Diceros bicornis minor: one gene and its partners. The protein of the gene in region 4 purifies or fractionates together with the protein of the main gene of each other region. This does not show direct contact. Links are inferred from orthologs where the notes say so. Each region holds a gene or a part of one and is shown on either strand. Other genes may lie near its edges. The genes, in order: SIRT1, WDR35, IFT140 and TULP3.

The links.
Region 1: the proteins of TULP3 (region 4) and SIRT1 purify together in Homo sapiens (affinity purification with mass spectrometry; 5 studies listed by BioGRID and IntAct, counting the BioPlex papers as one, with this or other methods). This does not show direct contact. The link is inferred for Diceros bicornis minor from reciprocal best matches to the Homo sapiens genes TULP3 and SIRT1.
Region 2: the proteins of TULP3 (region 4) and WDR35 purify together in Homo sapiens (affinity purification with mass spectrometry; 5 studies listed by BioGRID and IntAct, counting the BioPlex papers as one, with this or other methods). This does not show direct contact. The link is inferred for Diceros bicornis minor from reciprocal best matches to the Homo sapiens genes TULP3 and WDR35.
Region 3: the proteins of TULP3 (region 4) and IFT140 purify together in Homo sapiens (affinity purification with mass spectrometry; 5 studies listed by BioGRID and IntAct, counting the BioPlex papers as one, with this or other methods). This does not show direct contact. The link is inferred for Diceros bicornis minor from reciprocal best matches to the Homo sapiens genes TULP3 and IFT140.

The regions. Positions count from the first base shown.
Region 1 is NC_080745.1:37,974,022-37,981,267, forward strand, and holds the start of SIRT1 (NAD-dependent protein deacetylase sirtuin-1), read right to left. Parts: upstream 3,002-7,246; 5' UTR 2,924-3,001; coding exon 2,506-2,923; intron 905-2,505; coding exon 788-904; intron 1-787. UniProt on the Homo sapiens protein: NAD-dependent protein deacetylase that links transcriptional regulation directly to intracellular energetics and participates in the coordination of several separated cellular functions such as cell cycle, response to DNA damage, metabolism, apoptosis and autophagy.
Region 2 is NC_080751.1:61,804,964-61,812,753, reverse strand, and holds the start of WDR35 (WD repeat-containing protein 35), read right to left. Parts: upstream 3,001-7,790; 5' UTR 2,997-3,000; coding exon 2,898-2,996; intron 2,206-2,897; coding exon 2,088-2,205; intron 1-2,087. Other genes in the region: MATN3 (matrilin-3), read right to left, coding at 6,282-6,337. UniProt on the Homo sapiens protein: As a component of the IFT complex A (IFT-A), a complex required for retrograde ciliary transport and entry into cilia of G protein-coupled receptors (GPCRs), it is involved in ciliogenesis and ciliary protein trafficking.
Region 3 is NC_080765.1:46,786,602-46,794,078, forward strand, and holds the start of IFT140 (intraflagellar transport protein 140 homolog), read left to right. Parts: upstream 1-4,462; 5' UTR 4,463-4,492; intron 4,493-4,741; exon of another isoform or gene 4,742-5,355; intron 5,356-7,477. Other genes in the region: CRAMP1 (protein cramped-like), read right to left, coding at 1-167, 708-817. UniProt on the Homo sapiens protein: Component of the IFT complex A (IFT-A), a complex required for retrograde ciliary transport and entry into cilia of G protein-coupled receptors (GPCRs).
Region 4 is NC_080756.1:58,499,184-58,506,468, reverse strand, and holds the start of TULP3 (tubby-related protein 3), read left to right. Parts: upstream 1-4,277; 5' UTR 4,278-4,328; coding exon 4,329-4,369; intron 4,370-7,285. Other genes in the region: RHNO1 (RAD9, HUS1, RAD1-interacting nuclear orphan protein 1), read left to right, coding at 509-676, 1,763-2,320. UniProt on the Homo sapiens protein: Negative regulator of the Shh signaling transduction pathway: recruited to primary cilia via association with the IFT complex A (IFT-A) and is required for recruitment of G protein-coupled receptor GPR161 to cilia, a promoter of PKA-dependent basal repression machinery in Shh signaling.

The DNA of each region.
Region 1 (7,246 bases), on a different chromosome or scaffold from region 4:
TTACTTTTGAGATGATCATGTTATAACTTTGGTATAAAAATCTGATAGTGTTTTCTACTTCAAAATACTTTCCCATTTCATCTACATACTTAATAAATATTTACTGAGCACAAACTATGTGTCAGGCACTTTTCTAGGCACTGACAAAACAGTGTACCAATCAGTCAAAAATCCTGCCCCCATGGGGCTTATACTCTAGTACAGGAAACAAGACAATAAAAAAAGTTAAGTGTTGGGCCGGCCCTGGGGCTTAGCGGTTAAGTGCGCGGGCTCCGCTACTGGCGGCCGGGGTTCAGATCCTGGGCGCACACGGACACACCGTTTCTCTGGCCATGCTGAGGCCGGGTCCCACATACAGCAACTAGAAGGATGTGCAGCTATAACATACAACTATCCCCTGGGGCTTTGGGGGAAAAATAAATAAATAAAATTTAAAAAAAAAAGTGTTAAGAAAAATTAAAGAAGAGATATGAAGTGAGGGAGCAAGATACTCTTAATGGGAGGAAGAGCATTCCACACAGAAGGTATGAGTGAAAAGGGCTCGAGGTGTGAGAGAGACCTGGTTGAGAAATACCAGATGCCAGCTTCCGTGGGCCTGAGCTGCTACAAACAAAAACAGAACAAAGCACTAGACTTTCCCTAGAAACATAAGCTGACATTAAATCTCAGCAAGCACTTAAGAACCTCATCACTAGGTTATAAGGGGGCAGAGAATTACACTTTCAGTTGGCATAAAACAAAAATACAAAGAAAAAAACATTTATTCTCTAAAGCTGTGAAACCATACCTATCCGCGGCCTTGGAGTCCAGTCACTAGAGCTTGCATGTGAGGCTCTATCATCCTCATCGCTTTCACAAGAATGAAAACCGTTGGTGATTATTTCATCACCAAACAGAAGATCATCTGCAAAAGAAACCAAAAGTAACTCAAGGTTGCTTAAACAATCTACATCTAAAATGTACGAAGATCTACAATGCAAAGATTTTCTTTCTGGTTTTTGTTGGTGAGGAAGATTGGCCCTGAGCTAACATTGGTAGGCATCTTGCTTCTATTTTGTGTATGTCATGCCGCCACAGCACCACTTGATGAGCCGTGCATAGGTCCGCGCCCGGGATCTAAACCTGCGAACCCCAGGCCGCACAACTGGAGTGCGCGAACTTAACCACTAAGCCACCACGCCCACTCCTGAATAAAGCACGTAACATTTATACAGCCCGTGTAAAGAATGCCTACTGGGTTAGCTTTCACCGTTCACAGGAGCAGTATATCCTCATTTTTAGCGCTTCTTCCCAGAATCTAAAAGTTTCAGTTCGTCAAAATTTAAATAAATTGGGTCTACCTAATCAAAACACAAAAAGTAGTAACCTAGTTAGATTGACTTTATCGATCACAAAGAATGGAGTTCATGAAACTTGTCACACAAAAATTCACCAAAAAAGTCGTTCAAATGAAGTACAGCAATTTGCACTTCTCTTACATAATACTAAGTATACAATGATATCTTTGCATTATTCGTTTCCCCTATTAAAGTGTGTTTCTTGAAATCAGGAGTCGTTTTACTAATCCAGTTCCTAATGCACACGTTGTTACCTTTACAGATGGTCAAATGGTCCACTGATTGGATTTGATACAAATACTGATAAACACAGGGCAGAAACTCCTCAGATGGAAAATAAGAAACCTTCAAAGATGACATGACATATACAACTAACAACCGCTTGCGTATGCCAGAAAAAATGTCAATTCGTGTTTCAAGGTTACATATACACACACAAAAAGATTATACTTAATCTAAAAACCATTATAAGAACATGATTAGAGGAGAAATACTATGCATATAAAGTGCTCTACAAGTACTATCACTCCTATGCCCACTATTAATTGCACCACAGAAGGGTAATGTCTTTACGTAACGTCTTTATACTCTTCAAATTTTGCAGGTTATGACTTTAGAAATAGCTTTGCTGTTTAAAATTTAAGCTAGCTCAAAAATAAAGACCAACTGCACAGTCACCAATTGTCAAAAGTCACCAATTGCACAGGTGTCAGTTTGCAAAGACGACTGCAAAAGGTCGATGCAAAAGTTGCAGATTTAATTGTGCTGGGGGGGGGCGGGGGGTGGGAAGCAAAAGATGTCTAACAAAAGCAATATGTTATAAGAGTAGGAGGAGAGAGAAACATTTTAAAACCAACTGCAAGAGCTTCCCGGTCCGGCGGCTGCGCAAAGCGCGAAGCCCGGGCGGGCGGCGGACAGAGGGAAGGCGGGAGGAGAGGGAGGGAGCGAGTCCGCGGGCCGCTCGCGCAGCCAAGCCAGCAGCAGCCGGGCCAGCAGCACCGGAGGCGCGCAGCTCAGGAGGGCCGTGGTTGGGAGGGGCACGCCACAGAGCCAGCCCTGAGCCCCCAGCCCGCACCAGGGAACCCCCCCCCCACCGACCCCACCCCAGGAGGGGCCCCGGGAGAGGGAGGAGGGGATGCGCAGTCCCGGCCGCCCGCGCCCTGCGCACCTCGGTACCCAATCGCCGCCGCCGCCGCCGTCGCCTCTTCCTCCTCCTCGCCTTCGTCGTCGCCTTCGTCGTCGCCTTCGTTGTCGTCGTCGTCGTCGTCGAAGTCGTCGGCCGCTGGCGGCTCCCGGGATAGGCCCTGTAGGCCCGGCCCATTGTCTCCTCTGGCCGCCGCCGCCGCCTGGGCCTCCCGCTCCCCGCCCGCCACCGCCGCTGCCGGGCAGCTCCCGGCCGCCGCCGGCACCTCACGCTCGGGGGCCGCCCCACCAGGCTCGCCCGGGCTCCGCCCGAGGCCGGGGCCGTCTCTCCGCGGCCTCTTGCGGAGCGGCTCCCCGGCGGGTGGCGACGCGGCCTCCCTCTCGGCCGCCACAGCCGAGGGGGAGCCGCCGGACTGAAGGGCGAGCGCCGCCTCGTCCGCCATCTTCCAAACTGCCTCTCTGGCCCACCTCCGTCGCCTCCTCTGCTCCCGCTCGACTCGCGGCACTGGCGCCCCCGCGGCTCCGGCTGCGGGAGATTTAAACCCCGTCACGTGACCCGGCCCTCCCCGCCCCCGCCGCTCCCGCCACCCACGCGGGCTGGACCACAACACGGCGGGTCACGTGGCTGGCGAAGGCGGCGTGGGCCCGGAGGAAACGCACCTTGGGCGGTGCCGCCCCACCCCTTGGCGGCAGGCGCTCGGTGCTGCCAAACTCACCCCTTTCTCAACTTCTCTTTCGAACTGTCGTTAAATCGCTGCCGCCAGGCTGGCTCAAGCTTTGATTCACAGTGCGAGTTTCCACTTCTGCCTTAAGTGCACACCTTGCTTGCTTTAGTCTTTTCAAGATTTAAGCTAAGGGTTAAAACTTAGTTCCTGAGAGGCGAGAAGGAATGAAGCTGGCCAAGGCTTAGCTCCCGGACGGAGGCTGGATGGTGGGTCTGTTTTGTTAACAGGTGTGAGTAGAGGCGAAAGGACACAGCTCACTCCTCACACCATTCTGACAGCTCCTCTTGGCTCCTTTTTCTCTTTGCTTCTCTCCTAAGCCGATTGCTTTTTCCCCCTCTCTCCATCAGTTGTAGGGTGATGTAGGCTGTCAAATCCTTAAAGACATGTGTACCCCCTGGAAAGACCTTTGACTTGGGGGGTTGGGGATCAACCTGTCTGCTTTCTGGCCTCAGCTTGGCTCCAAATGTGTGTGAATTCCCTTCTCTGGGCTTCACAAAGTGAGTGTATTGGGTCAAGTGGGGCAATATAAGAAGAGTACAGAATGAGCATGACTTGGCCCCTATACACCTCTGGGTTTGGGTTAGTATTTGAGATCTTTCCCTTCTAACTTGAGCAAGTTAGTTAACCTTTCTAAACCCAGTGTTCTCATCTCTAAAATGGTAATACCTATTTTTTAGGGTTGTGATGAGAATTAAATGAGATAGCCAGATGTAAAGTGAGGGATACATAGTAGCTCAAAAATATTAGTTACTTCCCTATTCGAAGCCCCTACTTTCCATTTACCCTGAAATTGCAGGACTCTGTCACTCCATATCTATCTTTAACTAAGGACTCATATAATACATGGCAGATCTAGAGCCAGTGCTTGGTAGGGCATCTGCTTCTGGAGTGCGGCATTTCTGTCCACTTAAAGCGCCTCTCCGAGTTTACAGTAAATCATCCCTTAAGCTGAACGTGGGTCTTGCCTATACTGCACCAATTACTTGTGTGAATTTAGGCAAGCAACTTAAGTTGTTTCTTCGTTCTTAAAAAAAAGTAGAATATTGGAAATCTATCTCTAAGGTCCCATCTATATCCAAAAGTCTTTGTACCTCAAATTAAACTGAGAATCTCCCCTTACAACTGATCATTTCTTTTCATTTCTGAAAGTGATTATTTCTTTCAAGAAGACTTGGAATCAACTTTGAAGTGTTTCTTCAGACTGATGCTCTGTAACCAATCAGTGACCAAATCCTGTTGTGCTTCCTTCCTTCCTATACTCTCTCCAATTCCTGACTACATAGATACCTCCCTGGCTGATATACTTGGACCTGTTCTCTCCCCACTTTGTCTATCTTGTTCTACAAAATATTTCATAAATTCTTTCTCAGCCACGTTGGTGGGATGTAATATATGAAATGTTGAGAGTCAGTATCCCATCAAAATAGAAACAAAATTCCTAGCTTTTTTGAGAAAGACCTTTGTAAGCTTATGGACATCCTGTTATTCATTCATTCATTCATTTATATATATCATGAATCAAAGACATTTGCTAGTCTTTATTGTGATCAATATGATTGCTAGTGTACTGATAGGTCAGAGATGGGGTACACGTGGCAGGTAGGATAAATGAGAGACAGAAATTGTATTAAAAAACAAAACAAACACACACCTTCTCAACTAGATATCTGGCCTACCAGGAGTTGAGAACAACTTGCCTGAAATTCAAGTCATTCTTAGTCCTTAAGGCTTGCAAGTTCACATTCAGTTTTTCAAGTCTCCCATGAATCTGGCCTTGACCTTCTTGTAAATATTTTTAGCATTAGTATATTCTAAACCGAGCTATTCATGTACCAGACTTTTTTTTTTTTTTTTTTGCTTGAGGAAGATTCACCCTGAGCTAACATCTGTGCCAGTCTTCCTCTATCTTATACATGGGTCGCTGTCACAGCACGGCTGCCGATAGTAGTGTAGGTCCACGCCCAGGAACTGAACCCAGGCCACTGAAGCAGAATGCGTCAGACTTAACCACTAGGCCACAGGCTGGCCCCCAAACCATTTTTTTTAAAATGAGGAAGCTCTTTGGGGCCGCCATGTGGCATAGTGGTTAAGTTCAGTGTATTCCACTTTGGCGGCCCAGGTTTGCAGGTTCAAAACCCCGGGCATGGACTTACACTGCTTGTCAGCCATGCTGTGGCGGCAACCCACATACAAAATAGAGGAAGATTGGCACAGATGTTAGCTCAGGGCAAATCTTCCTCAAGCAAAAAAAAATAAAAATAAATAAATGAGGAAGCTCTTTAAGTTGTCATATGGAATGCTCTCCATGCTGCACAGTGCAAGATGTAGAACAGTGTGTGTAGCACTATTTGTGAGAAAATAAAAGGGAGAGTGTGGAAGGGAGACCATATATATGTATTTGCTTATATATGTACAAAATAACACTAGAAGCGCTTAAAATAAATACATATATGCCTGCCATATATTTGTCATACTGTTTTGCCTGTATCTCCTTCCCTAGAATGAGTCCTCTCTATACCTTATTCAGAACGTTATAGAGCACATTCCCCTATTTTGCTTGTTAACTTATTTTTCTCTATGTGTTTTACTGACTGTCTCCCCCAGCTACAGCAGGAATTTGGTTCATGTGGTTCACCTCTGTGTTATCAGCTCTCTAGTAGAGTAACTAGCACATCTATTTATTGAATGAAAGAATAAAGAATCTAAATGAAGATTTCCATATAGGAAAAGAATTAGTGAATGAAAGGTGATGGGCAGCATGAATCCTAAACAAAAAAAGGCAAGAAGCAAGGCAAGGAAATTCAGTTTGTCCCCAGCACAGTTCAGGTGAGAAAGTTAATGAAACATGACATGACCTGTTTCTTGTTTGACAGGATGAACGTAGGTGCATTGGGCTGTGAGGTGTTTTCCAACACGAACCACCAGTTCTGATTCTCCAGATACCAACTGGGTATTTAACAGTTCAACTCAATTATGACACTGGACTGCCCCCACTTCAGATGCCAGTCACCAGTCCCAGACCTCCTGTACAAACTGGCTATAAACAGGGAGTTCCCATGACACTTACAAAGGATACAAATGAACAGCTAGATGAAGAGGTACGTAGGGCAAGGTCCAGAAAGGTCCAGAGCACAGGAGCTTCTGTCCCTGTGGAGTTGGGTCACACCACCTTCTTAGCTCATGGATGTGTTAACCAATTCAGAAGCTCTCTGAAGCTCCTTGTTGAAGACTTTTTATAGAGTTCAATCTCCAGTGCGCTCCATCCCTCTCTCTGGAGGTCAGGAGTGGGGCTGAAAGTTCCTGCCCTCTAACCACTTGGTCTTTCTGGTGACCAGCCCCAGCTGAAGCTATCTAGGAGCCCCACCCTAAGCTACCTCATTAGCATAAACTCAGGAGTGAAGGAAAGGAGTTCATTATGAATAACAAAAGACACTCCTAACACTCAGCAAATTCCAAGGGTGTTAGGAGGTGTGTTTCAGAAACAGGACAAAGACAAATATTTATTTTTTATTATACCAAAGGCTGTCATAGACTTCTCACACTAGTCACTAGGATTTTTAACTTGTTTTCAAATTCTAAGCCCCCTAAGCAGCCTTCAACAGTAATTTGGTTTCCCATATAGACTGTCCCACTGGGAAGAAAATGTTCCAAGAGCCAACAATAATATTCTGGCTGACTTGGCAGCTCTATTTATATGAACAAAAAAATTGGCCTTATAGCTTTGATTTCAATCTCATGTGACTACAATTAGTAGGGGAGTTAGTATCAATTCTTTGTGTACTGAAAAACAGTATTAGCAAAACAGGTTATTAATGTGGAAAAACACAAATACAGATTCCTACCTCACACTAAATACAAAAATAAATTCCAAGTGGATTGAAGATCTACATGAAAAAAATATAATAAAAATATTAGAAGACATTTTATAATATATAATTTTGCATCAAAAAGAACTAAGACAGAAGCCATTTAAAATATATAAATTTATAAAATATATTCTAAAAATATATATTTGACTATATAAATATTTAAAATATGTTC
Region 2 (7,790 bases), on a different chromosome or scaffold from region 4:
ATACTAAACAGCCATTAAAAATGATGCTACAGAAGACGTTTTATTGATATAGAGGTTGTTGTATTATATTGATGAATGATAATAACTTAGCTATTTGATAGCAAAGCTACAAAACCACACTTACAACATAACATCTTCAGCACAACACAATGCTTGATATGTAGTAGGCATGTAACATCTGGTGGTTGTTACCAGAGGGATCTGCTGCATCACAACTATTATTATTAAATACAATATACTGACCTTGTTAGAATCTTCCAGCTATATTTCTCATATTTAACTCTTTCAACATGATTTACACTCAATAAGTTCGAAAACAAATAATTTACTCCATTTTCCAAACCTCAAGAATCTATTTTCCATCTCGCTCACTAATTTCAAAGAATACCCTATACTTCATCAAAAGGGCAGAGAGAGAAAAAAAGCAATTTTTTTTGGAAAAGCCTTCGATGTTTTACATAATGAATGCATTTCTTAATGTAACTAAAACTTGCTACATATTTTAAGCAAAATAAAAAATACATATATATACATATACATGTTTGAAAGGCATAACAGAGAAAAGTTATTTTAACACAGTTAAGAAAACTAAAGCACTGAAACATTAAATTATTAAACATCAGAAGCCAAACTCTAATTGGTACATAAGTATCTACCTGCCTTTTATTCATATAATTAATCTAGCACATGAAAACAATTATTCTCTCTTTGCTTAGGCTGTCCACCAAGCACTTTGTGTAATGGTTACAAAGACGTAAAAATGAGACAAGCTTAGTTTCAAATCCCAGCTCTGCCACTTACTGGCTGTGTGCCCGTGGTTAACTGATCAGAGCCTCAGCTTTCTCATCTGGAATACCTACCTCTCAAGATTATTGTCAAGTCAAATGAGATAGTGAAAGTTAAGCACCCCATACATAGAAAATGATCAGTAAACATTTATGATTCCAACCACATTCAAAATGGTAAAGCAGCGCTACTCAAAGTGTGATCTGAGAACCAAGCAACACCAGTATCACTAGAAATGCAAATTTTCAGACCCTATCCCAGATCGACTCTGGGGCTGGAGCCCAGACATCCATTTTAACAATCTCTTCAGATGATTCTTATGCCTGATAAAGTCTGACACACAATACTGTAAGGAATTCAAAATGTAATTTAGTTCAACCTCTCATTTCACAAAAGAGTGAACTAAAGCCCAAAGATATTCAGCAATTTGCTGAAAGTCCTTCAGAAGTCTTATGGCAGAGCAGCGATTCCAACTCCAATCTCCTTATCTAGATCTCCAATTCAGATAGGGGATTACCTAGATCTCCAATCTAGAGCAACACTAGGGATGCTAAAGAAATGTGAAATTCTGCTTTGTGAAGTTTGCTATGATTCCAAAGAACTAGAAGAAGAGAAATTAAGCTGTAATGACAAGAGACTTATTAAAAAAAAAAAGTTTTTTTTTTTAGGGCCTTTGCCCCTGGTGCAGTGGTTAAGTTCCTCGGCGGGGGGTTTGCAGGGCCAGATCCCAGGGGTGGACCTACACACTGCTCATTAAGCCATGCTATAGTGGCATCCCACATTGGCCCTGAGCTAACATCTGTGCCAATCTTCCTCAGCAAAAAAAGAAAAAAAAGGGGTTTTTTTAAAACCCCGTTTTCTGTTCTTGGAAACTAGATACATAATAATTGACCCATCTGATAAGTGGAAAAGATGAGATAGGCCTACAAATAATCTGCCAAAATGTAAGATTTTGTGACTCACTGAAATGCTGATTCACACGATTTTTACTAGACTCCTAATAATAAAGCACAACAAACAGACATAGCACAAGACAGCACAGTGGCTTAATTTTCATTTTTCATTCTTTTTCACTTTTCATCAATAACTTCAGCAAAAGCCACCTGACATTTACATTCGATATTCTCTGAACTTTATTGCAAAAACGCTCTACAAAAACACAAGATGTTTGGGATTTTGTTTTTTTCCTTTTAAAAGAATTAGAATGGCATACTAACGAATACCATGAGCAAATCCCACTGAACAAATGACACAAGCCAATCTTCCATCAAGTTCAAACATTTGGGCTTGCATTCATTTACCTGTCTGTGTCTCTAATTTCAAAACTTTCAGTAATCCATCTTCGCCACCACATGCTATGAATCCTTGGTCCTTGTTCCAAGATATGCATTTCAGCTTCACATTATTGGGAATGGCAATCTGAAAGGCAACCACAACCACTCATACAACTTGTCACGAAGGAGTCGAGAAGTGAGTCCACAGGAGATGAAGGCTGAAGAAAATCCCCCAAGAAGAAAGACGGTCACCCTTATGAAAGAGTGAGCTGTTATGATGCGGGCACAGTCCCCTGAGCTTCCCCGGGCCCTACCATTTGGGAAAGACAGAAAGAAGAGAACAGGAGAGAAGAGCAGTGACTGCGGAGGAACCCCTCACCGGAGTCACCAGATAAATTTGGGGGGGGGGGGGCGGTTAGGAGGTATAAATCCATACCATTAGTCCATATTCCTTTTCTACATACAACACTTAGGCTACTCTTTTGTTACTACGTTTCTCTTGCCCAGAGGTCCGGGATGATCCAAAGAATTTAAGTCACCTGGATCAGCAACAGGAGCAGGAGGAAAGACAGGCAAGCACGCAGTGCTCTGCCCTGCTGACCCCCCAAAAGGACCTAGCCTGGGGCAGTAATGGGAGACAGTCGTGCGAGGAGGCTGCTGCCCCCCCGTCCCCCCACGGACTACCTGGGACTCGAGGATCGGCTGGAGGAGGTCAGAGGCTGGTTGGGGTAGGATGGCGAAGCCGCGATCAGGCGCCTGGCTTCGCCGGCAGGATGCGGGAATCGCCCGCAGGACGCCAGAACGGAGGAGAAGCGGGGGCGCCCCCAAAAAACTCACTTTCTTGCTCAGGTAAAAGAACATCCTGGGAACCCCGACAGGACGACCCCCGCCGTCAAGGCCCGCAGCACGAAACTTGTTCTCCGTCGCCAATGGCATGTACCAGCGGCTTGCAGAAGCTCCCGTCGCCCTGGCAACCGCCGCCGCCCGGTCGCATCCGGGGCGCCGAGGGCACTTCCGGTGTCGCCCTCGCACGGGCCCCGGGCGTCGTGCGCCTGCGCGGGCAGCGGGGGGCTTGTAGGAACGGTGGTCGCGGGGCCGAAGCTGTGGTTGGACGTGGTGTGTTTGCTTCTGGGCCTTTTTGCCCCCTGCTTGGGGCCTCGTCGCTGACCCTCAGCGCCCTGCCGCCTCGTCTCAGCTGCCCTCAGTCTTTGAGGGCACGGAGCACCTGCCACACCTGGGATGGTCGCGGTGGAGCTCGCCTGAGGTGTCAGGATCGACTCAGGACAGGCGCTCCTTCAAATGAGGTCACAATGATTGGGTATTTTGTAAGCCCCAAAGTCCCAACATTGTTGAAAGGGAAAATTCATTTACTGTATTTGGTAAACTGACACCGTCGGCCACATGAAATTGGGAATGTGCGTTTTCAGAGCTTGCAAACCTTCCCATGCGCTTTTGGGAATTGGAGAACCCTCTGGAGCAGTTTGGGGACAGGAGATTGTGTTTATTACGTTTGTTTCAGAACTTTTTAACATCTTATTTAAGCTGTTACTGCAGCCCAAGAGTCCTTATAAAAACAATATGTATGAGCTTTGGGCCATTACAGTGTATGATTGCCATTGGGGTATAGCCTTCCATTTTTAAATACTAATTGAGGTGCTTGGTATTTTCTCTCCTGGGTCGACTGTTGAATATTCTCTTCTTGTTCTACCATATTTCTTTCTTCAATTCTCCTTTGTCCTGTTTGAATGCTTGGAGAGTTACAAATCACCACAATTTTAGGCATAGGGCAGAAACTCGCATGAAATTATTTAGTCTCACCCGTTTTTTATTTCTCTCTGGTTTTTCCTTTTCCCACATTCTGTAGCTACCACTGTTGATTTGTATAATCTAGCATGTACTTTATGCAGCAGTAGCTTCTTTCCCCATCTCAAGCAAATGTTCAAATCCTCTGACCTGAGTCTGTTTGCCTCACCCAGCACACTCAAGAATTGAAATGCTCCTAATGCCTTTCCTATCAAATCTAAACCCCAGCTAAAATCAGATCTTCCTTCAATCCTAAAACGTCTTTACTATGGTGCCCCCATTCTAAGAAAGCCAATATACTTCCTGCAACCTACCATTCCTCTCTGCTTCCAAGGCCATTTTATATATCCTATGATGTCCTTACCCTCTTGGCCAATTGTGCCTAGCCAAACACACAAAGCAGGTCTCCCTGGGAAATTCTTTCCACACATAACCCCCATCCCATTCAGATAATATATGCATTTCTTTTCAAATGTATGTGTATCTGTTTTTTCAGCACCAAACTGTAAATTCCTAAGATATGTTGGCACATGCTCACGGGCACCCTACACTGGACTCATGAAACAAATCAGTATTATCTAAGCCGGGGGATTCCAATCAACTGGTCAAGTTTAAGACATGATTAGTTGAAGCTAGTTACTGATGGTCACACTGTTTAAAAATCATCTTTTTAAATACCTTTCCCTAGTTCTTGCACATGAGCTCTTATTCCTTCTATAGCACCATTTCTCTGTGATATATTAACATTACTGACTCTATGCTCAAATAAGTTTGGAAAATAACTACTGTATATCATGTCCTTTCAAAAATGTTAAGAAATAACAATATGTTTCATATAATATATACTCCCTTGATGTATTTATTTTTCATTTCTTCCCTTTAAAGTTTATATTTTAGATTTTTGACTGTTTTCTGGGTTTACATCTGAGGTTATATTTGCTTCTCAGGCACATATATTAATGTAGCCTCAACAATATTTTATATAAATTTAGATAATTTTGTTTTATTCCCTCTCCCATGACATTCTTGATTAAAGCCTTTGTATTTAACCTGAACTTACTTTTTGTTTGTTTGGTTTTTTGCTGAGGAATATTCGCCTTGAGCTAACATCTGTTGCCAGTCTTCCTCTTTTTGCTTGAGGAATATTCGCCGTGAGCTAACATCTGTGCCAGTCTTCCTCTATTTTGTATATGGGTCGCTGCCACAGCATGGCTGCGGACGAGTGGTGTAGGTCCGTGCCCACGACCCAAACCCCAGGCCGCCGAAAGAGCATGCCGAACTCAACCACTAGGCCACGGGGTTGGCCCCTGAACTTACATTTTTAACCTTAAGAGCATAAGATTAAATTATAGGAAGAGTCACAACATTTTGTCCTTTGACAAGAAACTGTTATATATTCAAAATAAATGTTAATTTAGTTTAAGGAAATATGTTAATAGACAAAATTGATATGAGTCACGACAAAAAGGGATGACAATAATATATAAAGATACTAACTTTTTTATTATACCAAAGACAATACAAACCAAAAGAGGACTTGAGTTGTACACAATTTAAAGGATTGTTTTCTTCTAAAAGTTATAAGTTTTAAAGCTAAAAACATGTATCAAATATATAAGTGAAAAAAAGTTAGGCTTATCACTAACATTTAAAAAGACAACATTAGGTTTTGTTACTTGTTATAGCAATATTTATAAATATATAATTTTATTGATAGGATCTTAAAGTAAAACAATAAACTAAATGTAGGATTTTATGTCCTTTGTAAAAAGTTACAACATTCTTATTTCACAACTAAAGTCTTTAGTTGTGTGTTTCTTTCTAACATCAGAATGAATTAAAAATGGCATGTAATGTTCACTTGATCTGTGTTAACTATGTTTAGATATGTATATTACAATCCCCTGATCACAGCTTCAATAATACTCTAGTAAAAACAAAAAATGTTAAAGAAACAGTTCTAAATTATATTCCTCTCAATTTAATTATATCAACTTTTGTATGTGTAAATACTTTGTACAATTTACACTTTCAGTAATAAGATTGTTTTATACCATAAATATTATCAAGAGAAAATAGATCAGAAGTTCCCATTGTAAGTATGGTTATCTTACTAATATAAACATTTAAAAATTAAATGGCTCAATTAGTAAAGACAGAAAGAAACATTAAACTTTTCATTCTATTTCTACCAACCATTTCACAGTCATAGCTTAGACACTAAAGTTTGTTCTTAATGAGGATCTGGACATTTATTTCCTTAGAAAAATGATACTGATTCTCCAGAAGATCCTCATACTACTTATCCAGTAATATTCAGGCATTTGTAATGGCAAATTATTAGCAGGAACATTGGAGTACGCAAAGTATTAAATACACCAAGCTCTCCATATTTTCCAGGTGAAAAATTTGAGAAACTTAACGATGTATTTGTCCATATTCATTTGCTTGCAACTTCTCCAAAACGTCATCAAGTGGCTAGTTGTTAAGGCCAACACTATTGATTTTTAGACATTAGAAAATGTAAACATACTTTCAAACACTTCAATACAAAAGAAATAATTACATTCTATTGTAAACAAAAAGAGCAAAATTGTTTTCTCACCAAAAGTCTAGTTTAATCTAAAACTCAGAAATTCTGTTCTTTAGAAAGCACGATATAAAGCAGTGGTCTTCAGACGTTTTTGCTCATATATTCCCTAAAATAATCTTGACAATAAGTCATGTCATGCATATTTAAATTATATGAAAATTATCATGTTTTATTTACAAAATATGCAGTTTCTGCTATAAATACTGAGTCTTTAAAATAACATTTAAATCAGTCTTTCAAATGTATCCCACATAATATTAATATCGTACTGAATTAATACCTACTATCATTCTTCTAAAATAAAATATTTAAAATAAAGGAATTTGTATTTCCTTGAATTTGTATTTCCTTTCTACTTTCTCCACAGAATTTTATTCCACTTTGAATCTTGGAAATCTTTTCTGGATCACTCTATTGTACTTCTCAAGTAAGCTTATACAAACAACAAGCACACACACATTTATATTGAAATTACCTTTAAATCAATTTTCTTTGACCATAAAGGCCCTAAATTTTGTTTTTAATCATCTGGATTACCATTACAGCTATTATGAACACATAATTGATCCAAACAAAATAAATTACAAATTTTGACATAAAATCGTTAAAAATAAAAGGTAAGATTTAACTGGAAAGGTATCTCTTAATGGAATGGAATAGGGGAGCAGTGTTTATGAAGCCTTGATTTAAAAAGCTATTGAATCCTCCCTTTGTGTGGCTCTGGAGATTGTACTTTTCCAAGAAGTTCACCTTGGTAATCTCAGGCTGAGTGGGAGGTATGCGTTTCTTGGGTAAAGTTAGGAGAAGGGTGATCCTGAAGTGAGAGATGGGAAAAGAGAATGCCAACTGACCCCAAGTACCATTTTAGGCAGATCAATTTAAGGAAGTGAAGGCTTTGGAACTGGTTCCTTTAAAACGTTCTGTGCACCCCTATTCCCCCCAAAGTCTCTGCATACTCCTAGGGTATCCCCATCGCAATTTGAATACCACTCGCCTCAGGCCCCTAGGAACAGTGTTGTTAACTGTGCTAAGAAAAAGTACTTTTCCTAAATTACTCATTTGGCTAAAGAACTGATTTTGAAAGTTTCTGAGATGGCACCACGTTACATTTTGGAATCTGCTTTTTGACCACCTGGCTAGCCGAAGTGTACAACTACGTGTCATCTGAGCCGTCACACCCCTTATCAGCTGACTCATTCTGTACATGTACAGATTCTGAACTAAGAAAGCCATCTGAAGGAATCAGCATAAGAGCTCCATCTGTTACTAAGATCTCAATTAGGAGCATATACTGCTATGGAGAAGCACTAAAGAAAGAAATAGTTAGGCAGCTT
Region 3 (7,477 bases), on a different chromosome or scaffold from region 4:
CGCCGTCCCGGGGGGTCTTGCCGTCCCTCTTTGTGCCGCCGCTCTCCTCGGCCGCGTCCCCGCCGCCGGCGCCCTCTCCTTCCAGCGAGTCCTCATCGGCCGACCTCTTGCCCAGCCTCTTGAGCCCTTCCTCCCCGCTGCTGCCGTCTCCCAACTTCACTGTCATCCTGGCGGGGAGGGGGGCGAGGAGACCCTCGTGAGGCGCGCGGCCCGGCAGCCTGCCGGAGAAGTTTAGCCGCCCCGATTCCCTCTCAACATGGCCGCCGTTGTTTGTTCCAGATCCCCTCCCGGCGGCCCGCCCGCCCGCCCGAGCCCCAGCCCGACCGGGGCCCGAGCCCGCCGCCCGCCCGACCCCAGCCCGGACCCTCGCGCGCCCGCCCGCTGCCCAGGAAACGGCGGCCGGGGCGGCGCGGAGGCGGCGGGGCAGCAGCTTGGGGGCCGCACCCGGACGGCCCTGGCCGCGCGGCGCCCCAGCCCCGGCGGGATCGGGTAGGGGGCCGAGGCCGGGGTCCCGGGTTCCTGGGGTCCCAGGGTCGGGGCCCGGAGCCACCTACCCTGCGGGCCCGCGGCTCATGGCCTGCGCGGCGGGCAGGCTGCGCGCCGGCCTCGCTCCCCGCGCTGCCTGGGCCGGCCGGGCCTCGGCGCCCGCGCCCCCGGACCCCACCCCTCCCCGCCCCCCAAAACGCGCGGGGCTCCGGCCCGCGCACCTGCCCCGCACGCTGGCCCCCAAAGTTGGCCCCGGAGTGGGGGCGACCGGCCCAGATCGACCCCGGCAGGGGAGAGGCGCGGGCTCGCCTGCGTGCACAGGGAACTCCATGGTGGCCCGCGGCTGCCGGTCCGCCTGCTTATTTTAAAACAGACATAAAGAATAATAAGCTCGGGGTTTCTGGGAATCTTGCTTCCCAGGGTGGAAGATGTGTGCGGCTGCGGGGATTTACGAATTAAAAATGCTTTTACAACAAAGGAGCCTGTTGCACGGAACAGGTTGGAGCCACCCGTGAAAGTGACAGCACAGTTATGTCTAGGGCCAAATGCAAGAATGGGTTAGAAGATAATTGTGTTAAAACTCTTGGTAACCATTCATAAAATTCTTGCCTTAACTTTGTTACCCACTGCTGTGTGAAATGTCAACAACAAAATGCGATGACCCTCAAAATGTTTGCAGCCCAGAAAACAGATCCACTCAAAAATTAAGAGAATCAGGTACACATCAACAATATATGCCCAGAAATAGTCAATAATGTGTACCTGCGATGAAGCAAGAAAGATAAATATTAGATTCCTCAACAGGTGTTGATACCATGCCCAAACTGCGTTTGACATGCTCATCACAACTGCTGAGGATGGGAACATTTCCATTTAAAAGGAGAACCAGAGCAAGACATCAAGGCTAACAGTCAAATACAGTAACAAGGGCAAGGACCTATCACAGAAAGATTTGGAAATGAGTAAAAATCACAGTAATACCTACTACTGCTCTGATATATTCCATAACAAAATGATCTGTAACAGTTTTCATCTGTTGGAATTGATCTTACAAATCATTTAAATCCATGCTAGTTAAAAAAAAAGAAAATCCTGCCAAAGAATAGACTATACAAGACAAATACCCAAACTTAAAGGACTTCATTGCACAGGGCTTCTCACTATTCATTTCTCAACCTATCCATTTCTACTTAAGGCACCTGAAAATATCCCAAAGGGCCTTTCTCTGGGTTATAATGTGGAGAACCCTACTTCCCAGGGACCTATCATCGCAAAGCTACCCACAGTCAACCCAGGACCCAGGCAAAGCATACATCAGTCACAACAGATTAAACTTGCCCATTTGCCCGGTTGAATACTGGAAGACAGACACTAAACTGAACACAGAAGGACACAGCTTTTCAGAATTAAAAGGATACTGATACATTTCAGAGTTTTCCCCTAAGAGAAAAGGAAAACATAGGGATGGAATCTTTCACTGAAAACCTCCAGCATTACTTCCTGACCATCCACAGACATGGGATCACTTCAAGCCCAATCCTGGCTCGACACCGTTTGTCACATTTCGGGAAGAGAAAAGCAAAACCTTCCCTCTTGGGCTGATTTCCGGCTGCACACAAAGAGCGCTGTCAACGCAATATTTCTCGCTCCCGGCAAAGCCCCGGGAAAGCACCGCATGCGTAGCCGCCGCCGCGAGGGCGCAGGCCGCTTCTCCCGCAGCCCCGCTCCGGCTGGGAGCCGGGCCTCACCGTGACAGCCGGTCAGGGCGGCCCACCTCTCCCGAGCCCCAGTCTCTGGTCACCTTTTTCATCAACGCCTTGCAGCAGCCTGGCTTCCCGGGACCCCCGGGGGCCTCCCGGGCGCCCGCAGAACCGGCCGGGCCGGGCAGTCCCAGCCCCCGAGTGCCGGCTACAGAGAGGCCGCGACGCCGCAGTGATCCTCCCGCCTCAGAAGCGGTAGCCGAGCGACGCTCGCCCCGGCACGTCCCCTCCGCGGCCGGCGTGCGGCTGACGGGGCTGCGGGCACCGGTGCTGCCGCCGCTCAGCCTCCGGGAGGCCCGGCCCGCCGCGTTCAGCAGCAGTTCCGGCTACGGCGGCCGGCGGAGACCGCGGGGACGACGCGTGGGGCGGGGCCGGGGCGGCGGGCACGCGGGCCGGGGCGGGGCGACGCGCGCGGGGACGAGCACGCCCGAGGTTTCCACCGTGCGCACCCCACTACGGGCGCTCCCATTGGCCAGCAGCGGGCGCGCTCACAGGCACGCACGGACGCGGGGCGGGAACGAGGGGCGGGCCTGCGACGCGGGTAATGTTGTGACGCCGGGCTCGCGCCCGTGCGGGCCGGTGCGTCTCTCTGGATTGGTGGATTAACAGCCAATAGAGTCAGCGCCAGGGCTGTGATTGGCCGGAGCCGTGTTGACGGATGCGTGAGAAGAAAACGCCGCCTCAGCTCGGAGTCTTGAGTCGGCGGGAACCGAGTTTTTAACGAAGTGTGAAAGTACAACTGAGGCGGATAAACACAGCCTTTATTGGATCGAGTGTGTGCTTTTGAAGTTCTTTAGCGTAACAGATGGTGCTGGGCACTTAGCTCATTTTTCTTTGTTATGGCGATAAAAGTGTTTTTTAAAATTCTAGTGTATATGGCGGGCGGGGGTGAGTTTGATGCTGTTTAAGGGTACAAACTTGTAAGTAGTAAATAAGCCATAGAGGTCCAATGCACAGTATAATGAGTATAGACAATAATTTTGTACTGTAATTATATAATATGATAGATATGGCTATATCGGCAATCATATTACGTATATAAACGTATCAAATTAAAACGCTGTATAACAATGTTACATGTCCAACTTATTCAATAAAAAAATTCTAGTGTTTACGAAAATTGGGTTTTTAAAAATAGAATCGTCCTTGTACGTATGTAATCCCGTCCGATCCAGTAGTATCTACATTTTCCTCTTACTTTTTCATTTGTTTAACAATGTGGACCTTTGGGACCCGCTCCTGTAGTTACATCTTTCCAAGCACGTAGGTCAATCAGGAGGTGGAGGAAGCAGCGGTGGGGGTGGGGTGGGGCACGAAACGCCGTCTTCTTGAAGATTCCCTCCTCTCTGGTTAATCTTATTGCTAGATCTTCCGGACCCCACCCTTTGCTAGGCTCCGCTCTGTCTGGTCTCAAGGAGGAGGGTGTGCAATATGAACTATTTTTTTTATGACATGACGTTGATTTGTTTTTCAAAGTTAGTTTGACCACAGCTGACGTTAGGCCAGGCGCACGTTGTAAAATGCCTTTGGGAATGCAGCTGCCGCCACGAATCAGGCTGGCTTCTAGCCCGTATCGTTGGCTACCATTTTCTCGCCGAAGGCGTCCATATGGCCCCCAAAGCATTGAACGCATGTCGTTAGTTACCTAATAACTTCAAGGAACTATGTCGAACCAACTGGCTTTTCTCTAAAATACTCTTGAAACACATCCTCCTCCTTGAGACCAGACAGAGCGGAGCCTAGCAAACGGTGGGGTCCGGAGGATCTAGCAATAAGATTAACCAGAGAGGAGGGAATCTTCAAGAAGATGGCGTTTCGTTTCTCCCCCCTACTCTCTGCTGCCTCCTCCACCTCCTGATTGACCTACGTGCTTGGAAAGATGTAACTACAGGAGCGGGTCCCAACAGGCTTTGCATCCCCATCACACCTGGAAGAATTTCACCAGCTTCGCCTCTCTTCCCTGGTCTCTCTGGCCCCCTTCCGAGCTAGCGTTGTTGATGCCAGACTTCGGCTGCGATGGGGAGAAATTGCCCCGCGGGTCCACCGAGCTGGCCTCCTGCGGGGACCCGCGGGGATCATCCCGCAGTCGGCGCCGCACGAAGATTCCCGATCGTCTTCGACTGTTTCCGGCCTCTCGGGGCGATTCGGGCGGCCTCGGCGGCCGCATCGCTCACCTTCGGCTGTTTCCGCGTTCCGCTCGCAGCCGTTGTCCCGGCAACGCGCGGCCGCCCGGCGGCCAGACCCTGGTGAGTGCGGTTCCGGGGTGAGGGCCGCCAGGGGTGTGGGAGCGCGGGGAACGGGGTGGGGGGGGAGCGCGGGGAACCGGGGGTGGCGGGGAGAGTGGGAAGGGAGGGCGAGTTGGGGGGCTGGGAGCCGGGGAGGGGGACGTCGACGAGGCGGGGCCGGGGCGGGGCTCGGGGGGACCGAGGGGTGGGGAGCCTCGGGGGCGCGGGGGCCTGGGGCCGGGAGGAGGGAGACGATGCGGCGGGCCAGACCCTGTCCCGCGCCCTCCCAGGTTATTTTCGTCTGGAAATCTGTCATGGGCCAAGCGCCCGCGGCTCCTCTCAGGTCAGGTGAAGGCTGGGGGTGCTGGGCGCGGCGTCGAGCGGTCAGCGCGAGCCGACGTCCACCTCAGGCGCAGTCCAGATCCGATTGAGGACCGCGTGGCCGTGAGAGTTCGGGGGGCGCGGACCGGGTAGTGGGTGGGCCGCGCGGGCAGAGCTCCCGGTGATGCTGGGGGTAGGGAGAGAGTGAGAAAGCCACCGTCCTGCACTGTCGGTCCTGCGGCCCCAGGGAACCGCACTGTCCCAGACCAGCGAATGCCTGTCCTTCGTGTCCATGAGACGCAGCTATGACCCTGCACTGCCCGAGGCCCGGGGCCCGTGGCCTAGAGAGAGAGGCTTTGCAGGGTGGCCACTAGTGCCTGCCCCCCACGCCCTTGCTCAGCCCCTATTGCCCCAAAGTCCTCCGGTTTCCTCATACAGCATCTCCAAGCAGTGGTGCAACCAAATTAGCTTTAATACCAAGAACTCCTTAGTTGAGTGAACCTAACAGATTCTTTCCCAAAAGTTGGTTTAATGGAGGCCATAAGGACGTTGGACGCCTAGAGGTGAGAAAAGCCAATCGGTTAGAATAAATGGAATTTTTTTTTTGTTTTCTCCAAAGTTTATACCTTTGCCAAATCTTTTTATGTTCTAAGAGACCCTGAGTTTGTTTTAAGGGAAGGAAGTGAACTTGTTTCTGAACTGATGCTATTAACAGATGTCATTAGGTAACGATTTTATTGTTAGTCGTCTCTCCTCTTTGTGTTTATTTTGGTAACTTTTCTTTTATAATTATGCAGATAATACTTATTCATTGTAGAAAAATGTTAAAATGCAGGTGAAAGGAATGATGCACAATCATACATTGTATAAAAATGGACTCATTCACCCTGGCCAGTAACCCACTTTTTACAACAAAACATCAAGACCATCTTTCCTGGCTAATAAATGTTTTCAACAGGGATTCACATATTGGGGGCCTGTTCTGTGCAAGGCACTGTTCTAGGGGCTGGGGACTCTCTGGGGGTCTCCCACCCTGTGGGGCAGATAATCTGGTAGGGGGTGGAGGATAGTCAGTCAAACACGCATTTACAGTAATGTCTAAATGCAGCCATATGGAGAAGAACAGGGTTCTATGGATACACTGGGCAGAAGCACAGAACACCCCAAAAGTTGTCCGAGAGCTCCCTGGAGGAAAGGAGGCTGGATTCCTGTGTCCAAAGGAGGGGTGTGAGGGAGGGCCTCTGGGAAAGCCCCAGGCAGGAAAAAAGTAATTTAAAGATCTAGTAGTGGGGCTGGCCCAGTGGCATAGCAGTTAAGTTCGCCCGTTCAGCTTTGGCAGCCCAGGGTTTGCAGGTTCGGATCCCCAGCACGGACCTACGCACCGCCTATCAAGCCATGCTGTGGCGGCGACACATGTAAAGTAGAGGAAGGTGGGCACGGATGTTAGCCCAGGGCCAAGCTTCCTCAGCAAGAGGAGGATTGGCAACAGATGTTAGCTCAGGGCTAATCTTCCTCACACACACACAAAAAAGAAATCTCTTAGTATACATTCTTATTAGAAAGTGATGTCTGAAAAAAAAATAGAAGAGATCAAGTTTAACTTTTTCTTTCTTTTTTTTTTTTTTGAGGCAGATTGGGCCTGAGCTAACATCTGTTGGCAATCTTCCTCTTTTTCTTTTTTCTCTCCAAAGCCCCAGTACATAGTTATATATCCTGGTTGTAGGTCTTTCTGGTTCTTCTATGTGGGATGCCACCTCAGCATGGCTTGATGAGCGGTGAGTAAGTGTGCGCCCAGGATCCGAACCGGTGAACCCCGGTTTTAACTTTTTAAAGTGCTACTTATATTCTTTCTCCATCGTTACAGCAAAATTAACATGTTACTCATTTTTCAGAGGAATATTTTCACAAAGTAAACTTGTTAAATATGAATATGAATTTCCCATAGCCAGGAGTTTAGACTGTTGATTGGCTGCGACAAGTTAAAACTCACTTTAAAAGGTTTCCTTTGCTATATTAAATCGCCCAGGTTTTTATCTGGCATGTTTTCATTTTCAATGGCTTTGTTTGAAGGTTTGCATAAGAACTTTTTTGTGCGTGTATGTGAGGAAGATCAGCCCTGAGCTAACATCCATGCCAATCCTCCTCTTTTTGCTGAGGAAGACTTGCCCTGAGCTAACATCCGTGACGATCTTCCTCCACTTTATGTGGGACGCCACCACAGCAGGGCCTGACAAGCAGTGCGCACCCAGGATCCGAACCCAGGCCGCCAGCAGCAGAGTGCATGCACTTAACTGCTTCGCCGCGGGGCTGACCCCTGCATAAGGACTTTACTCCCAGAAGTTGGAGCCTTGACCAGTGTAGATGTAGTGATGTGTGTGCGCAGGGGACCCTGGATCCAGCCCCTTCCCCTGACTCCTGTCCCCCCACCCGCCCCCACTCACTGCTCCACTAGGAGCCCTGAATAGGTGCTCTTCAGTCCGTGGTGGTGAGAGTACAAGCTCGAAAATTGTGCCTTTGTCTAGTATTCAGGGTATATATTCATAAGAAAAAAGTAAACATTTGAAATGTGACTGTGCATCTGTACCCGCATGCCTTCCAGCTTTTCACTGGACAGAGTTTCCTTCTCTGGATCCAAGCTGAGCCTTCGTGGCTTCCTCTGATACAACTATCGTATTGCTAAAAGCA
Region 4 (7,285 bases):
TACCCAGGTCAGGTATCACCCTCTCTAGAAAGCCTCCCCTGGGGTGAGTGGAAGCATTCTTCCCATTGTTGTAATTGTCTGTCTCCCTCTGCTAGACTCTCAGCTCTTTGAAGACAGGGACAGTCTGACCTCTGTGTTTCTACAAGTGGTTGGCACTCAATAAATGATCGTAGAATAAATGGTTATTCATCTTTAACTTCCCGACACCCAGCATGGTGCTTAACACTTGCTCGATAAATGTCCATTGAGCGAATGCTGTTGAATGTGAACCACTGTGTTTTTACTCGCTGTATATAGGAAGCTGTGCTCCCCACAGTCTTGAGGTAGGGGTGGTAGTTGAGAGTAGAACTCGCTGGCAGGGTATGAGAAAAAGCTGGGGAATCGTCAGAATTACTTTCTCCCAGCTTTTGTTTCTTCTCTGCAGGCATGGGTTGGAATTGGAGCCACTCCCCCGACCTGACTACAACCAGCATCATGTGGTTACTAACTGCTCTTCATTCACTTCTTGATGCCTCCCAGAAAAAAACGCCGCCCAAGTTGCCAGAAAGCCCAGCTGCTATTCCACCATCAGCCACTGGAGAGCCCCAAACACCGCTATGGATCTCCACAGCTTCCCATCACCTACACTAGGCAGGTGCCCAGCAAGCCCATTGACCACAACACCGTCACTTCCTGGGTAGGCCATGGATTCTTACTGTGACCTTTACTCTGTTAGGTTTCTCACAATGCTGACTCTTCTGCCCCTTGAACCAGGGCCTCCAAAGAATAAGAAGATTCATGGGGGCAGGGACAAGGAGATAATATACTCTTTCTGTCATCGTCAGCCATCTTCTCTGGTATATCTTCTTTTCTAAGTTCAAACTGAGGCATGGTGTGGTTGGAATTGGAGTCTCCCGCCACATTCCTCTGAGAGAGTTCAGTATCAAAGTTTCACCTCCCACTAGCTGGGCGAGAAAGCCAGATAAGTGGCAGAACAAGTACAAAATGGGATTGTTCCCTGAGCTTCACGTGAGAGGTAAAGTATTTGGGTAGGTACTCTATTTACTGTTTAATAGTCTGAACCTTGAAAAAGAGCCACAGAAATGGCATATGTCATATTTTGTTAAAAGCCCTGGAGAGAGAACATAGCTCCTATAAGTCAGGGAAGTAGAATAGCAAAAGAGCCAGACAAAAGCATAAACTCTGCCTAAGAGTGCTTAATAAATGTAACTTGTCGGGGTTGCTTGGAAAAGCCATAATATTTGCTTCAGGATTGTAGAAGAGACTTAAATGTTAGAATCCTGGGGATGAGAAGAGGAATGAAATTTGTTGAGAATTCATTATGTGCTAGATCCTATGCTAGTTATTTTGCATACGCGGTCTCACTCCCTATTCTTGCATTCAGCCATTCATTCATTACTGGGTCCTTTCCTGTGTCAGGCACTCTGCTAGGTGCTGGGGATCAATGGTGAATAAGGCTGGTCGCTGCCCTCAAAGTTTAAAGATAGTTAAGTTGCAGCCATATGGTGTGATAAAGTGAAAGAGGCATTGTCCCCTTTCTTACACATGAGGAAACTGAAAGCCAGAGAGATTAAATAACTTGCCCAAAGCTCATATCCTTATCTATCTATCACATTAGACAGGTGTTTTTGTTTTGTGTCCATTACTATAGTAGGCCCCCATTTGGGATTCTGGACGTTGGGTGTAGTTTCCTTCCTGAGGTTTGTACTTGGTAGTTGGCTCTCCTCAGCTTTTTTTTTTTTTTTTTTTTTTTCATCCTTAGGTATCACCTCAGTTTGATACAACAGCAGAAAACTCGTTCCCAGCCAACCGGAAACGTCGTCGCAGAGACCAGGCAAGACATTCAAGTCGAAAATCTACCACCTCCAAGTTTCCACATCTAACATTTGAGAGTCCACAGTCTTCTTCCAGTTCAGCCACACTTGGGATCCCCTTAACCGGGGGATACCCCAATCAATCAGAAAAGGACATTTCCAGAAGGCCCTTCATTCCAATGCTCAGTCCCCAGAGCTGTGGGGAGCTGTCATCACACGCACTTCAAAACTTGCCTTATGTGTTCATTCCACCTGAAATCCGGACCCCAGAGTCATCTTCTGTGAAGGAGGGGCCCATTCCCCCAGATCAGAGGGAAGACAGCCTTCCAAGCTGCTCCCTTCACACTAGTACTCCCAAGAGCCCAGAGCCTGGGCCTGTTCTGGTTAAAGACACTCCTGAGGAGAAGTATGGGATAAAGGTCACGTGGAGGAGACGAGGGCACCTGTTTACTTACCTCAAGGAGAGAGGGAAGCTGAGCAAAAGCCAGTTCCTTGTGAAAAAGTGACTGGGTTTCTCAGATAACAGTAATCTCAAGACATTGATTGCTGGTTTTCACAGAGTTGCTCAAGTCGCTTTTCTGGCTCACAAGATAGCACATCGATAGAATAAAGTGGAAATAATACCAATAACATCAATAGAAAAAGATATTTTAACTAGACCCCTGGAGTCATAGGGAATTCAATTCCCAGATTTACTTTTTTAAATATCTTGTCATAAACAGTTCTTAGTGTCATAAACTGTTTACTTCATATTTTTCTTGTATTAACTGTTTCAAATTTTAACGTATCTTGTAGTAACTGTTTAAAATGTATGTAAACAAATGGTTGCAGGAACTTTTTAGAGAACCCTGCTTCTGACTGCCCCCTCCACAGAGGGTCTTTCCTAATGGTTTCCTTTAGCCACTACTCGTTAATCCTTTAGTCACCTCATGCAAACCAATTCATTCCACAGTTTTGAGTACTGACTCTGCGTCAGGCTCAGTGGCAGCTTCCTCTATGACCTGATGGATGGAAAAAATCTAAGCAAATTCTGTGACTTTTTATAGTTGAGCTGCCGCCTCTGCAACCTTGGCTCCTCTGCTGAAAGGAGAAGATTGAAGAAGGGGCAGCAAGCCCTGTTTAGTGAATACAGTGGGATCAGGGCAGGTAAAGGGGACATGAGTAAGTTACTTAGGTTTGCTGTGTTTTGATTTTTATTTCCAACCGAAGAAATCTCTAAATATTAAATAGGGTGGGAAAATGATTTCTTGCAGTAACTGTTTGAAATGTATGTAAATAAATGTGGAAACTTTTCAGAGAACAGTGCTTCTTATTGTAATTAATGCGGGACTACCCAGTCAACAAAATGTTTCCACTGGCCTTTCATCGATACAAATAGCATTTCATTCAACTCCATTCATTCAGCTTTAAGAACCCACTCTGTCAGGTCCAGCCGAGCCAGAAAGCAGGGATTATTGTGTTTGTTTTACGGACGGGAATTTGAAACACAGATGGTGAACCACGCTCAGGGTCGCATGGTGGGTGGAGGCTGGCCCAGTGAGTGCCGTGCTCTGCTCTTCTCGCTTGTGCCAAGTTCCATGCCTCTTAGAAATTCAAAACCAATGTGGAAACAACTTTGACGTCGGAATGCTATAAACTGAGGTCAGTGTGCAGTAACTGTCCGGATGTTTTGTGGGGACCATAACGCTGTATGTAAGTTGGTGGTGAGAAAAGAAGTGATGGTTGGGGACAAGATTTACTGGAAACGATAGCACAGATTTACACAGCGGATCTCGTCATGGAGTATGGATGTTTGAAGACGGTCCATAGGCTGTAGAGAGAGGTCATGGAAAAGATTGTCAGGAGAGTCCGTGGAGAAGGTCTAGAATGCTCTAAAAGCCTGGGCTGGAGTGGGGAGGCTGAAGGAGTTTTGTGCAGTTGAGTGCAAGACCAGGTAACTATATGAAAGATGCATTTAATTGGGTGTGACTGCTGCAGAGGGGACAAGTGTGGCTCCCAGGAAGGCCCTGGTGTCAGGGAAGGGGCCGGTCTGTGAGGGAGCGGGCAGAGATCTGCAAGCCCTAACATTACAGCCCTCGGGAAGCGCTCTGGGTGGTCTCAGTACAAACGGCAGAGGATTGGGGACGCCGCTCCGCGCGTGGCGGCTAGCGGGGGTAGGCGGCCCCTCCGACGGACTGGCTGCCTCGCCGCGGGAGCCCACGCGGCCGAGCGGGACCCAACACTCGGCCCTCAGCCCCTTCCCGGCGCCGCGCTCCAGGGCCGGAGCCCCAGCGCGTCAGCCCCGCTCCGGCGCAGGCGCCTCGCCTCCCGGTTCCTCCGCCCCTAGAAACCCTCCCGCAGCGCCGGGCGGCGGCCACAGCCAATGAGACAGGAGCGGCGGCACGAGGGCCAATGGGCGGCGGCGACAGTGCGGGGTGCGTTGCCAGGGGCGGGGCCTGGCTGCCGGCCAGGCTTGCCACCCTAGCAGCGGCGTCCCGGGGTCTGGATGTGGTTGTCTCCTTCTGGGCGGCGGGGATGGAGGCTCCGCGCTGCCGGCTCGGACCCCGCGGGGACAGGTCAGAGACGGGTGGTGGCTGGTCTCGTCTCGAGCGGGCGGAGGGCCTGAGACCGCGGCCGTCCTTGCGGGGGCTCTGAAGCGAGAGCGCTCGGTCGGGGGACGAGGCGGGAGGCGAGCAGAGGACCCCTTTTACAGGGGCGCGCTGGGGAGCAGCGGCTCTGCGGCGGCGCCGGGAGTGGGGCCTTCGTGTTCGTGTTCAGGTCCCAGCTTGGGAAACTCGTGGAGCTTTTTACGAGCTCGCCTTGCCCTCTGTGGGCCTCCTCACTCGGAGCGCGTTACCCTGCCCCTCGCACTGCCCAGCAGTGTCATTGCTGAGGTTGCATGAAGTCTCCGGGCTGTTGAAGCGGAAGGTTCTGGGTGATGTTTGATAGTTTGCTTAATGCGGTTGCGTCGGGCAGGCAGTGCTGAATTCTGCAAGAGTCCGACGGCTGAAAATGCAAAACTAGTCATCTTTTGCTATCTGCTTCTTAGTAACTCGCTCTTATGCGGCGTTGTCTGTCGTATTTGCAGTGGACCATGCCCCTTGTTTGTGCTCCTCTTGCTCTGCCATGCCCCTTTTTTCCTGCCTCCGCCAGAGGGAGAGCCTGGAAAAGAAGACGATCCGAAATCTCAGCCTGCCAATTTCTTGTTAGCTGGGTTAATGAAAAGTTAACGGGGAGCAGTGTGAAATGATTGGCTTAAAACTTTGGCATTGTCTGAGGATTTATTCTATTACCATAGCAAATAAAGATTTAGCATGTAAGGACTTAGTCTGATATTTAGACTAGTCGATGTTTAAACAATTGTAAACCATTTAAAAGCGTTGTCAGGAAGGAGGCGTTGGGGTACAGAACACTCATTTTTCTCTTTCATCAGATTTCATTGACGTAATAGCTGCGCTCTGTGAAATGTGTTCGCTGCTCTTTTTTTTCAAGTGGAGAGAAAAATATGCTACATTTACGAGTACAAATATGAAAATGCTAGGAGGAGGTAAAGTTAAAATTCAGCGTCTGTGTTGAATTCAGATGGTGCTTGTTAAGTTGTGGTCACTCAGTAAATCTTTTTTTTTTTACGAGGAGATCAGCCCTGTGCTAACATCTGCCAATCCTCCTCTTTTTTTTTGCTGAGGAAGACTGGCCCTGGGCTAACATCTGTGCCCATCTTCCTCTACTTCATATGGGACGCCACCACAGCATGGCTTGACAAGCAGTGTGTTGGTGTGCGCCTGGGATCCGAACCTGCGAACCCCAGGCCACCGCAGCGGAGCACGAGCACTTAACTGCTTGCGCCACCTGGCCGGCCCAGTAAATCTTAATTGAATGAATTTCAGGGAGTAAATTTCATGGGTACGAGATGTTTGATATGACTCATGATTTTTGAAAAAAAAAAATTGAATTGACTGAAATTGAGACAAGGAGGCAAAATGGTTTTTAATTTATTGGACTTGAAGTTTAAAGGGATAATTTAGAAGTTTTTCTGTCTTTTTTCTTCCCAAAGAAACCAGCTCTTTAATTTTAAATCCAAGGGGAATGTGTGAGTCACGGAATGTTCCTCCTGCAGCAGGTACTGTTAGTGCAGCTTCTAGCACAGTTTAACTCATTCGTTGCTGAGAGAAAGTGGAATAGGTCTTGCTTTTTTGGCTTTAATGGTTTTGATGAAATACATTGATAGAGTTTTTGGTATTAATACCTTTCAATGTGAAAGATAACATCTGACTTCTAAGTTTCTTGTGATTTTTTTCTTCTTTAATTATGTGACTCTTTTACCATGAGGCGGATGTATTTTCAACAAAGTATGGTAGTCCCCTCTTGTCCGTGGTTTCTTTTCCCGGGTTTCAGTTATTCGTGGTCACCCATGGTGGGAAAATATTAAATGGAAAATTCCAGAAATAAACAATTTGTAAGTTTTAAATTATAAGCAGTTCTGAGTGATGAAATCTGGAGTGGTCCAGCTCTGTCCCACCTAGCACGTGAATTATCGCTTTGTCCAGGTATCCACTGTGTGTACCTACCGGCCTGTTAGACCGTTAGTTAGGGAAAAATAGTACAAATGGGGTTCGGTACTACCCGTGATTTCAGGCACCCACTGGGGGTCTTGGAACGTTTCCCCTGTGAATAAGGGGGCACTACTGTAGAAAAATTATTAACAAGTAAACTCCAAATGTTTTTCCTATATCTGAAATATTTAGTGGAAATTGGAGATGGAATTTGAGACAGCACTCTCGGGACTTTTGTTGGGGCTAGGCATTTTGTATTATGGGTTCCCTGGAGATGACAGTGGTTTGCTACTCCTACAACTTGAGCTCCCTCTAGCCTTTTGTTCCTGATAGAAAATTGAAGATGTGATGAGAGAGACTTTTCTTTCTCGGTGTGATGAGAGAGACTTTTCTCGGTGTGATGTGACCTTGTGACCCAGAGTTGACTAAGAAAGTCCTAGTCTGTGGTTTATCCATATGCCATGATTTCTCTTTAGAAATATGAACAGTAGTAGTGCCTGAAAGTTATGTCTTGGCCAGGCTTGTTATCCTCTCTCATGTTCTCTCTTTTTAAAATGTTTCATCAGATGGACTAATTGTTGGCAAACAGACTTACCCAGTGCTTAAAAATACTTAGATTAACTTATACATGACCTCAGTATGTTTGGCAAATATCGAAAGCTATGGTAAAGGCCTAATAACATCTAGTGTGCGTGTGTTTTCCGAAATGTGAAGGCTACATACAGACCTAGGAAGGAAAGAATAATCCCTGTAATAAATTTCCCTTCTTCCAAGATCCTTCTGTTCCAAGCAGACAGACTCAGATAGTTTTTGGAATAGTTTCATTTCTGGCTTCTCTTATTTCCTGTGGAAACTCCGCTGTTTTCCCTGCATTTGTGCCCGTTGAAAGAAAAAGTTAATGTTTCCTCTCAACCAAGAGGAAAAGTATGCTTGAATTAC